Schizosaccharomyces pombe: one gene and its partner. The gene in region 2 interacts genetically with the main gene of each other region. Each region holds a gene or a part of one and is shown on either strand. Other genes may lie near its edges. The genes, in order: dsc5 and sre1.

Evidence for each region.
Region 1: of sre1 (region 2) and dsc5, extra expression of one rescues a mutant of the other (dosage rescue), as found in Schizosaccharomyces pombe (one study listed by BioGRID).

What each region holds. Positions count from the first base shown.
Region 1 is NC_003421.2:1,813,977-1,818,903, reverse strand, and holds dsc5 (UBA/UAS domain-containing protein), read right to left. Parts: upstream 2,820-4,927; 5' UTR 2,803-2,819; coding exon 2,695-2,802; exon of another isoform or gene 2,508-2,694; coding exon 1,332-2,507; 3' UTR 501-1,331; downstream 1-500. Other genes in the region: U6 snRNP-associated protein Lsm7, read right to left, coding at 85-376, 431-480; SPRY domain membrane protein, specificity factor required for ubiquitination Ear1, read left to right, coding at 3,421-4,569. UniProt on the Schizosaccharomyces pombe protein: Involved in protein degradation through the ubiquitin/proteasome pathway.
Region 2 is NC_003423.3:1,689,181-1,695,264, reverse strand, and holds sre1 (transcription factor Sre1), read right to left. Parts: upstream 3,872-6,084; 5' UTR 3,438-3,871; coding exon 735-3,437; 3' UTR 574-734; downstream 1-573. Other genes in the region: SPOM_SPBC19C2.10 (BAR adaptor protein ), read right to left, coding at 1-44; U4/U5/U6 small nuclear ribonucleoprotein complex subunit PRP38, read right to left, coding at 4,287-4,777, 4,976-5,117; fructose-bisphosphate aldolase Fba1, read right to left, coding at 5,822-6,084.

The DNA of each region.
Region 1 (4,927 bases), on a different chromosome or scaffold from region 2:
CAAAACATGCACATGCGGTATAATAATTAACTTGTAGTATTTTATTAACAATAGTCAAACATCAAATGAAGGGCTTGTGGCTTTTTATTCAGCTTGGACGAATGGATTCGGTATCTCCTCAGAACCATCCATGGGAGCAATCAAAACTAAAGTTGTTCCACGAACGACTACAAGACCTAACTTTCTAATAGCTCCAGTAAGTTTACCATCCTCAGGATTGCGAAGCTGTTCCTCTACATCGTCAAGTACAAGGTTCATCAACTGATCGAATCCTTTTAGAATACCGGTAATTTGTCGGCCCCCCGTAAACGTGGCTTGAATTCGTTGATCTTGATATCTAGAAAGATCAAGGATAGATTCTTTTCTTGGTCTTTCACTATTTAAGAAAGTTAGCAAAACTCATGATGCTGCTCGTTCCTGCTAGACTTACGTCGGTTGACTAGAGTTACCTGGGCCAGGGCGTTTTTGAAGACTGGACATTCTTTGTATCTAGAATAACCAGGTAAATTATCAGCTATTGCCCAGAAAAGAATAAAGTACAGGTTCAACTTGACGATTCTCCTTTTTACGATGATTGTAACGTGATCGAACGTATCCTTATATGGTTCAATTTGAATGACTTAAGACATAGCAGTAAATGGAATATAAAACACGCTACAGAAAGGAATGTAAAATAAACTTGCTCAGTCTGAAAGGAAATAATTTCACCGCTTTACTTTTCCAATTTTGTTAGAAACGTTGAGAAATTCCATGCTTGGGGTCATAATGCTTGACATAAAGTGAATCTAATGCACTAATTTGTATATTAATTATATAAAAATTTAACATTAATGAAAGTTTAAAGGTAAAATTTAAGCTGTTTAGAAACAAAGCCACTAGACTTTTTCGAATTGCAATAAAGAAAGATTTATATTTTAAACAAATTTATGTTCATAATACATACCTCACTCATCACAGACGAAAGCTGGCAAAACTTTTATGCTACAAAGCCTAAATTACTAGCCTTTGTCCTCCATTGCAAAGAAAATCGTAGAAAACAGAGATGAAGATGACATGCATAGAAAAGGTTTTTGGCAAAGAACAGAAAATCTAGTGGAAATCGACTATGTACTCAGATTAAAGGGTGCATTGAAAGTTTGCTCAAAATAAAAAGTCAATGCGTCCAGTAGACATTCATGCCATAAACAACAATTAATTCAGTAGTAGAAATAGAAAAGAGAAAATAAATTCATCATACATCAAATCTTAGAAATGTATTTAAAAACGGATTCGAAACGTCGATAGTCGTAAATTGTCATTATGATTTAAAAAGACAAACAATTTTGTTAATTTCAATCATCCAGCTCCACCACCACAGTGCCATTTGGAAAGATGGCTTTGTTAGTAGAAATAGCCACTGATGGTTTCAGCAAAGCTCTGGGCAAAGAAGAATATAGTTGAAAATGAAAATCATGCTTATAGTCACTTGGTGGAGTGACCGGATTAGAAGATGAAGTAGCGCGACCGAATTCTTCAGGCTCCTCTTTTTCAAAAAGCATATAATCCACATAGTTGTAAACGGATTCAACAGTATCATCCTTCTTAAACCTTCGAACAGCCCGAGATCCGTCGGGAAAACGGATCGAAAGACGAGCAGGTTCATCTTCAGATGATGGCTCCGGTGGAAGATTAGAAGCAAGCCAAGCACGATATTGTTTTTTCTTTTTCTGAACGATTTCTCTTTCTTCTTTCTCCTTTGCAAGACGCTCTTCTTCTGCTCTCGCGAAAGCTTGACGCTCGCGATCGCGGGCAAGGGACGCTTGATAGGCATTGTCTTGTTGACGTCGTAACTCGCGAGCAGCTTCTCGTGCTTCTCTCTCCGAACGGAAACGCTCAAGAGAAGGAAGATGTTTAGCCAAAGCATTAGTTAGATTGGTAATGATGCTGGAACTATCAAGACATCCATGGAGTTGGGCGGCAACTACAAGCTCAGATAGCTGAGGTGAATACATAACAAGGACTGCGGAGGGAAATTTAGTGCAGTGGAATTGACGAGAACCTCGGAAAGCCTCATCCTCACAAACATCACCAGTCCAGCAAAGAATGTTTCGACGATTTAAAAATTCCTTTAGCTCTTGGTTCATAAGAACACTCCTGGAAAACGTCTCAGAGTCATCATTCTTTGAGCTAGTAAAGAAAAGCAATGCGACTCCATAATTACGCTTAATACGTGTCAACGCTTCCATGTAGCCGCCATCAGTAAAAAAATCAATATGCTCAGTACCGTATTGCTCTTCTAAATTCTGAACCAGCTTGTTCGCAGTGTCTGCAGGAGAAAGGACACGCTTAGTAGTACCAAAAATGGGGATAAATGTTGAAATCAGAGGAACCCTTGACAAAATCATCCATAGTTTGTGCAACCCACTGAATAGCAAAGAAAAAACAGATTGAAAGACGCCGAAACTTAATCCAAGCTTTGAATTTCTATCGACTCTTGACGATTCTCCAGTTAAACTCTCGATCGCTTCCTAATCATAAAACAGTTAGCAAAATGGCTCAGTCCCAACATTCACCGAAAATTCGATTAGAAAAATAAACGACAACCAGAGGATTCCATGAATGTTCAGTTGCAAATAACAACTTTCTTGGAATTTTTCAATCAAAGCAATTGATCACTATCGAATACTGAAAATGAATGCTTGCCGTGTCACATACCTGAACGTCCCAATTAAATGATTCCAAAACAGATTGAGCAGTATCAGCAGGAACATCAAGAGAGTTCCTTAATTCGTCTATTGCTTCTTGTTTTCGAGACCCTGACATGGTAGGTGTTGTTGGTTAATGGACGGAGTAGTATCCATGTGGCCTTTACGTGGTGCTTCGTAACCTTCCTTTTCCCATTACCATCTGAAATCCGGAAGCAAACATTGAACGAATCAAAGTAAATTTTCGAATAAAAATTTGGTTAATTCCAATCTATGGTTGTAAAAACAGAAAACTTATAAGCATAATTGTGACGGAGCAGTATTATCTGGTAAATTGCCGCTGATTTTCGATTTTACCTTACAACAGGCCATTGTGGCTCCTTCAGGAATAAATTCTTTTTTATCTTAAGAATTATATCTTATTTATTTAAAGGAGTTTGTATTTTCTCCTGTAAACTTGAAACAAGTATACCATTTCGCCCAATCCTTGAGCATTCGCAAAAACCATATTAGTGCAATATTTGAGATACTTGCATCTACGTTAGATTTAAATATTGTATCTCGTGCTTAATAAACTGCATATCTGAGAGAAAAATCCTTTTTCTCTTAACCCTATACTATATCCTCTTATAGCTAGGATTTTACTCTCAGTTATTTATTTCTCTATTAAATATACACTCGCAGATTTTCCTTTTTCAAATCTTATATAAAAAATTATTTTTTGCGTCTTTGAGTCATGCATCCCGATCAGATTCGCCAGTTGAGATTACAGGAATCTTCAAACACCCATCCTAATTTAGCAATCCTTTTCATATTTATTGCATTAGCCGCTGTCATTGTTCTTTTAATCTGTCTTTTGTCAGTCATCTTATTACTGCGATACACACGACATGGACGGATCTTGCTGAAAAACACCAATCCTGGTGAGTTGGACGACGAAGCGTTAGAGAATGAACATATTGATGAAGAAGGATTTAGTTTATTGGATGATATGGGGAAAGAACGGTATTTACAAGCTCGTGAGTTTGAGTTGAATTCCATGAAATCTAACGTCAACACGGATGCAAAGCTGCTTGACTTCCTACAAGTTCAAGAGAAGGGCGTATTAGCATGGCACTTTATCCCAAATCAGGAATATAATTGCTATGTTAAAAATAAAACTGAATTGTCTTTTTTGGGCAACGAAGAATGTTGCATGCAAACCAATTTGCCTTTGCAGAGGATCAATGAAGTATACTATTTTGAAGTAAAACTTTTAGACGTACCTATTGATACCTTGGTTTCCATCGGTCTGGCTACCAAGCCATATCCGCCGTTTCGATTGCCTGGTTGGAATTTTTGGTCTACTGCTTATGTGTCGGATGGAACACGCCGCAGTAATTCACCATTTACGGGAAAACCGTACTCCTCTTTCTACCAGCAGGGAGATGTAATTGGTGTTGGTTACAAACCGAAGTGCAATCGGATCTTCTTTACACGTAACGGTCGTCGGTGTGCAGAACTGCCGTGTACATATCGAAATTTGTATCCTACGGTTGGTGCAATTGGACCTTGTACCTTACATGTCAATCTTGGACAAGCAGGATATGTATTTATTGAAGCAAACATCAAGAAATGGAGACTCGCTCCTGCGGTTGGAAGCTTGGCTCCTCCTCCGTCGTATTCTACATCGCAGCCAACTATTAGTTGGGATGCAGCTAGTGAGTCTTCAGCGGGTACAACAACGCAGGGCGATACAAATAGACCCGACAAATCGAAAAATAGGTCACCTCCAATAAATTTTGATGGTACCTCGTATGATGCGGCTGGTAATGTTTTCAGTCCATCATCATCCAACAATCAAGCTTATCAAATGCACTCCATGCCTGCTACCGATGAAGTATAAGGAGTAATGTATAGCTTAGCACTAACAACCTTCACGCCAAAACCAAAGATCAAGTTGTGGAAATGTTTGTGCGTTGTGTTTCAAGTTAGTCCTAAAATCGAGAAATGCACTTTGTATATGAATTGAAGGGGATGTGTTGATGTTCAATGTATTTATTTTCTTTATAATAATTTCTTCAAAATTAGTTATAATTATTAATCTTAATTAAATTTACTCTATGTTTATTCGCTCAATTAATAAAAGGTTATTCACAATTTATTATGATTTTTCGTATAATGTTGCTATTGAGTCTATACTGTTAACATCAACCTTCATCGAATTCCGCTGGTGAGAAGTTTTAACGGAGGAATTCATAGGG
Region 2 (6,084 bases):
TTTTCACCGGTCCATTGTGAAAGCTTTGCAAAATGTTTGTTCATCTTCAAAGGAGAGCTAAGTTCTTGAATCGACAAATAATAAAAGCGAGTCTATTTATTTTTATTTTAGGTTGTAGGATTCAGAATAAGTTAACCAATATAGTAGTAAATAATACATAAAAACAATTTGGTAGTTTGTTTACCTTTGGTGAATGGTTCGTATTACTCCCGAGATTTCAGTAAGGACGGAACTACGTACTGTACCGTAAAACTTCAGACCACTCTTATCTATCTTATGCATTTCCATTTTATTAATAATTGACATTCTTTTTTTTATACAATTGGTATAAAATGGATATCAGCAGTCTAAGATTCAACACATCTTCATCAACAGCAGAGAGTTAACTGCAAGAGAAGAATCCAATTTTTTAATCTTGCCAATGTGTCATTATTTAAAAAAATAGTTAGTTCGATGAACCTTAGCATGCCTCAAATTGTACTCTATTCATTTTATTTAATCACCAAATATACTCAAATGGTGAATTGTGCTAGCTTGATACAACAAAATAACTCTAATTGCATATTTTTATCACTGCTCTTACCGACGACAACTGTAATTTATTAAAAGAATAATTAAAACTAAAAAATGATACGCAAAATAACTGATGAAATAACAATCATGGAAAATAATAAGGTAGTTGCAATAGATGAGCGTTGTATACTAACTGTTCTCAAAGCTCGAGAATCGACAATTTAAGCTGATGAAACATAACCCAAATCTTCTTGTAAGCGAGATCCAATATCTATGCAAGAGTTGATTAACTTACGAGATAATTTCAAATCTTGAATTTTCAAAGTTCCGATGGCCGTCCGCACGTACATGGCCATCTTTTCAACGACATCGTTTTCCTTTGGAGATGTGCAAATAGGAGCAAAAGTGTTCAAAGCGGTCCAGGAAATAATAAAAGATAAAGGTGTAATGTCTGCATCACTATCAGGTACAAAGATTTCCTGATACATACGTTTAGAAACATCCCCGTATCCAAGGCGTTGGAGTGCTAATGATAGGCATGAGTGGAGTGTGAATAGCTTGGATAAGTTGATCTTTAACACGCTTGACTGCTTGCGTTTATCTTGGCTGCATAAATCCAAAGTGTTCTTGTATGCTGCAAGGACTTCATTCAAAGAATCAGCTGTATTCTCGGGGAACAAAACCAATTTAGCTAGTAAAGCATGACGAATAATAGAGGAGTTCTTAGGACAAAGGGAAATAATTTCCTCAATCTCGGATATCTCAACTTTACGGCTCAAACTTTCCATCAAAAGGGCATCCAACAAATCAGCGGCATACCATGAGGCAAGCACCTCTAGAGGAGATAAAACCAAAACATCAGATAAGGAGCTAATAATACTATCTGACATTTGAGCAGAGTCACGGGTGCACTTTGCTAGAACCCACAATCGCTCAACCATATTCGGAGAGAAAACGTCGTCAGCGTGGGAGTTTTCAATTAGGTTAGCAGTACACTCAGGAAGCTCACGTAACTCCGCGTGTACAGAACTTTTGCTATGTTGTTTCTTTGCAGCATTCCAGAAGAAAGCAACGCACTTCGAAACGATAGCGGATGGGACAGAGGTGTTGGAAAAAATTAGTTGGCAATACATTGCTTGTAAAGCACAAGTATGACTTGAAGGAGGAAGAGAAAATGAACTGGCAAATACCATTAAGAGCCTCAAACGGTCAACTTTAGCATCACCACCCATTAATTGGGCATCCAAAAGCTTTTCCATGTTGCGAACTTCAGCAAGTTGTTGCTCACTATAAACCCAATTCTCAGAGGAGGTATAAAGAGCACTCAAACGATGAGTCAAATAGCCATAAGCAGATTTAAGAGTGAAGATCAGTAATCCAAAAAATAGAGAAATAGTCGAAGTAGAATGGTCCAATAAACAATACTTTTCGAATACGGTTTTTCGGAATAAGATTGAGGATGGTGACATGGAAGATCTGGTACTAACTTTAGATTTCTTTTCACCCTTGAAGCCTTTGAAAAGAGAGTTATCGTGCAAAAGATAGAATAAACCGAGTAAAACAACACCAATTTTCAGCATGTTAAAGAGAACAGTACCTGTGAATGGAGACATAAGAAAAGGTGGAAGAGCGAATAAACCATAAACAGATTGAGAAGAATCGTTTCCAAAATAATTGAATAGACCAAGTCCAACCATGCCATTTAGTGCTGTGCGGCCCATGGTATTTAGGGTTGGGGAAGTAAAAGCTCTTTGGGTTAGGTTTGGTCGAGAAGATTGGTGAACAGAATAGTCAGATGAGGAAACAACATTAACAGAGTTAACGGCTCGAGTATCGTTAGAAGGAGGAGCCATCGAAGGATCTTCGTAGAAAGCCAGCCTATCTGAAAGCTGCTTGTTAGTCTTCTGTAGTTCCTTATTCTTGGCCTCCAAATGTCTGATATACTCAGTTGCTTTTGCCAATATTGTACCCTTGTTAAGCTTACGAGCGGGTGTCAAACCCCCCAAATCCTCATCGTCCAGAGAATTACCACAACGAAGTGCAGCAGCAGCACGAAGTGAAGGAACTGCATCACGCAATTCACAAATTCGGTCGTTCAAGTTGGTTCTGTATCTCTTCTCAATCATGTTATGAGCTGTCTTCTTTGGTTTTCCTCCAGGACCGGCTACAAAATCTGGGGTTTCAGAAGGAGATAATGAGCCTCTAGACTTGGGGGCCGAAAAAGGTAATGTTTCAGGAATTGAGCAAGAATCTTCCGAGGAAGGAGACAACTTTATTTTCTTGGCAGAAGGTTCAGGCTTGCAAGTGGTGTCCATGGGTGTAATAATTTCTTCGGTTTTCAATTTGACTTCTGGATTTGACATATCAGCTGAAGGATAATTTTGAACAGTCGATGGATCGATTGTATCAACAGAGTGAAGGATTTTCATTTGGCGCTGAATTTTATCATCGGCATCGAACTCATTCAATGATGGGCCGGTAAAGGTCTCATTCTGAAATGAATTTGGAGAGCCGCAATTAGAGAGAAGAGGATTTGTAGAGTTTTCTAACGAGTTAGGGGAGCCCATGTTGGTCGAAGTAAACAGAGGAGGCGCCGAGTTCATCGTATTGTCGAACGCAAAAGGGTTAAGCCAATTGCTCATTGATGACTCCATATCAGAAAGGGAAAACGAATGGGGAGACAACGAGGTGTTGGTCAAGGTTGGAGGTGAGTCCTCGACAATGCTAGCCAAATCACACAACAGATTGGAACAATTCTCCACAAAGGGAGTAGAAGTTGAAGCCTTTGTCGATGAAGCCAAAGGGGATGAAGAAGGAATCGCACCCACTGAATTGGGTGATTTGCTGTCAGGCGAAGCTTTTGTTGGAGTTTCCATTGCAGGAGAAGCGACCGACACGGAAACTGACGGAATTGAGCTTTGCATATTTAACAAAATTTCCAGCTAGAACCAAGCGGAATTTAACAGCGAGTTAAAAAATCCAACAATAAAGAGAAATTGAATTTAACTCTTAGGGTTTTTTATCTCTGTGACTGTATAGGATGTTGAGCGAATTTTCTAATCGAGCTACAAATTATCCAAAATTTGACGCATTAAAAGCTATCCAAGGCGATAGATAGCAAAATAATTTCTTGAATGAGTTGTAAAATAAAATAATGTTCTTAGCAAGAAGGAAATCCAGCTTGATAATCGTTTAAGATTAGGTTATAGCAAGAGTCGAGCGCAGTAAACAAACTCTCAGCAACAACCCAATTGTTGTCAATGAACTTATAAAGGCTACTGGACGTCCTATAAGTAAAAAAATTTAAAATCGATCACCCGATAAGCAAAGTTAGGATTGCTCGAGTATGGTAATGGATGAAAGAGAAAAGTCGTGTTAATTCATATGTGAGCAAAAAAGAAGTGGACTGACATGTTTTTAACGAAACGTAAGAAAATAGACGGAATGGGGTGATTCGTTAAAGTATGGTGTGAAAAAAATTCCGTGGCGTATCAAAGACATTTTATAAATATTTAGTGTGCTGTAAACTAAGTCTATCGAAATTTGTTTACAAGAAAAAATAGCGTATTTGCGATAATATGTGAAATCGATATATATTAATATACAAATCTATTTGATTAGATGTTTGTTATTCATAAATTGTTTTTTAATAAGTTCAAGTGTAAAACCATTTCAATCCATAACTTTTCCTTGTAGAGTCATTCCAAGTTAAATCGTAGACGCATCACAAAATGCGTGCTTCGCTTTACTCTTTTTTTGTATATTACTTATCCTTAAATATTCCGATCTACAGCACCTTCATTGCTCTCCAATTTACTAATTTGTTCTTCATCATCATCTTCTTCGTCTGAAGAAGATGAAAGTGGTTCAAGCAAGTCCAAATCTTCAAGTTGGAGTCGACTTCGCAATGGGGGCAGGGAAATATCGCAAACTACTTCGGCATTTAGCAAATCATCAACAACCTCATCCAGATATGTTAATCGGATCTCAGAATTAGTACGAATTCTTAATTTCCGATAATCTCTTAACAGCGGTTCCAACGTTTGATGCACTTCCACATCATCCCATGTAAGCCGAACGTAAAATGCAGCCAGGGCACGTAAATACTTGAATTCAGGAATAGATAGGTACTGTTGAATTATTTCTTTTTCAGGTGCAATTTGTAAAAGCTTGTATAACAAACAGATAAACTCGGTGGGCCGTTGATTTCCATACTGACCACCTATATATTCAAGCCGTACTGCACGATCCACCAATGAACAAGCTAAGATGTATTAGTCAGTGAATTTGGAATAACAGTTTGAGGACTGATTAAAACAGCAAGTACCTATACTTGGTTTCTTTGCTTGCCAAATCAAGTTCATTTAGGCTATATCACTCAAAATATCGATTTGGAAAGTAATCGTACTTGAACTCTAATATGTAAAAACACTTTCCTTTTCTGTCAATGAAGAACACATACCATTCAATCCAAAACATTGTTCTTTCCAGTAAATAGAATCTACTATGCGTTCTCTCAAGATTTTTCCTATAAGGAAAGTCGGCAGCATTTCATGCGCCGCCTCACCTTGAGAGCGATAATCTCTAGCAAGAAAATCAGCCATAGTACCTCATGAAGAGAATGATTGCTCCAACCTTGATGTCTTGACTTGGAGTAAGCTTTTAAGGAGCAGTAGTGTACTGACAATATAAGTGGTCAAGTCTGAAGAAGCATGCTGAGTTTTGATTGAGAAAGGGTTATCTAAAAAAAACATGGATTCGTGAAATATGGAGGAAAAGGGAAAATGCCCGTACTCATTGCAATGAAAGAAGAAAAAGTTGATCTACTAAACAATGCACACTGTGTACACAAAGCACATGAAATTCAAGCGATTATGTTGTTTTAAGCTACTCATCGAGATTTGCCAAACGATATATATTAAATTCAAATAAACGCACGGACATATTATTTATTCATTCATTGTCATGTGGAATCGGAAATTTTTTTTTTGTAAATTTATATACCTAAGAACACATTAACCAATTAAGGAAGATGAATAAAAGGATAAAAAGAAAAATCTTAACAATATACAGTATGCTTGAAAAACACTTTACAAATCCAATCCAAAAAAATTTCTTAACTTACTTTGCCCTACTTTACTTCAAATATCTCTTATGCTTTTACAATGGTAATTTTAAAAAACAATGTCTCTATATTCAAACACGTAATTTCAAAACAGTATGAACTCTCATTAAGGGGACAAAAAAATATAATTTTAATGAAGCCCACCGTCTATTCAATCATTTCCATCTTTCAAAAACCACAAATTTAGAGAGTGTTGACAGTGTAGAAGTCCTCAAGAGCGGTAAGAACACGCTTGGTCATGGTCTTCTCACCCTCATGGATCCAGACACGAGGGTCGAACTTCTTCTTGTTGGGCTTGTCAGCTCCCTCGGGGTTACCGACGGGGGTCATAAGGTAGTCCTTGTACTTCAAGACATAGTCACGGACACCCTCGACGTAGGCGAATTGGGTATCAGTGTCAATGTTGACCTTGACGACACCGCACTTGATACCAGTACGGAACTCGT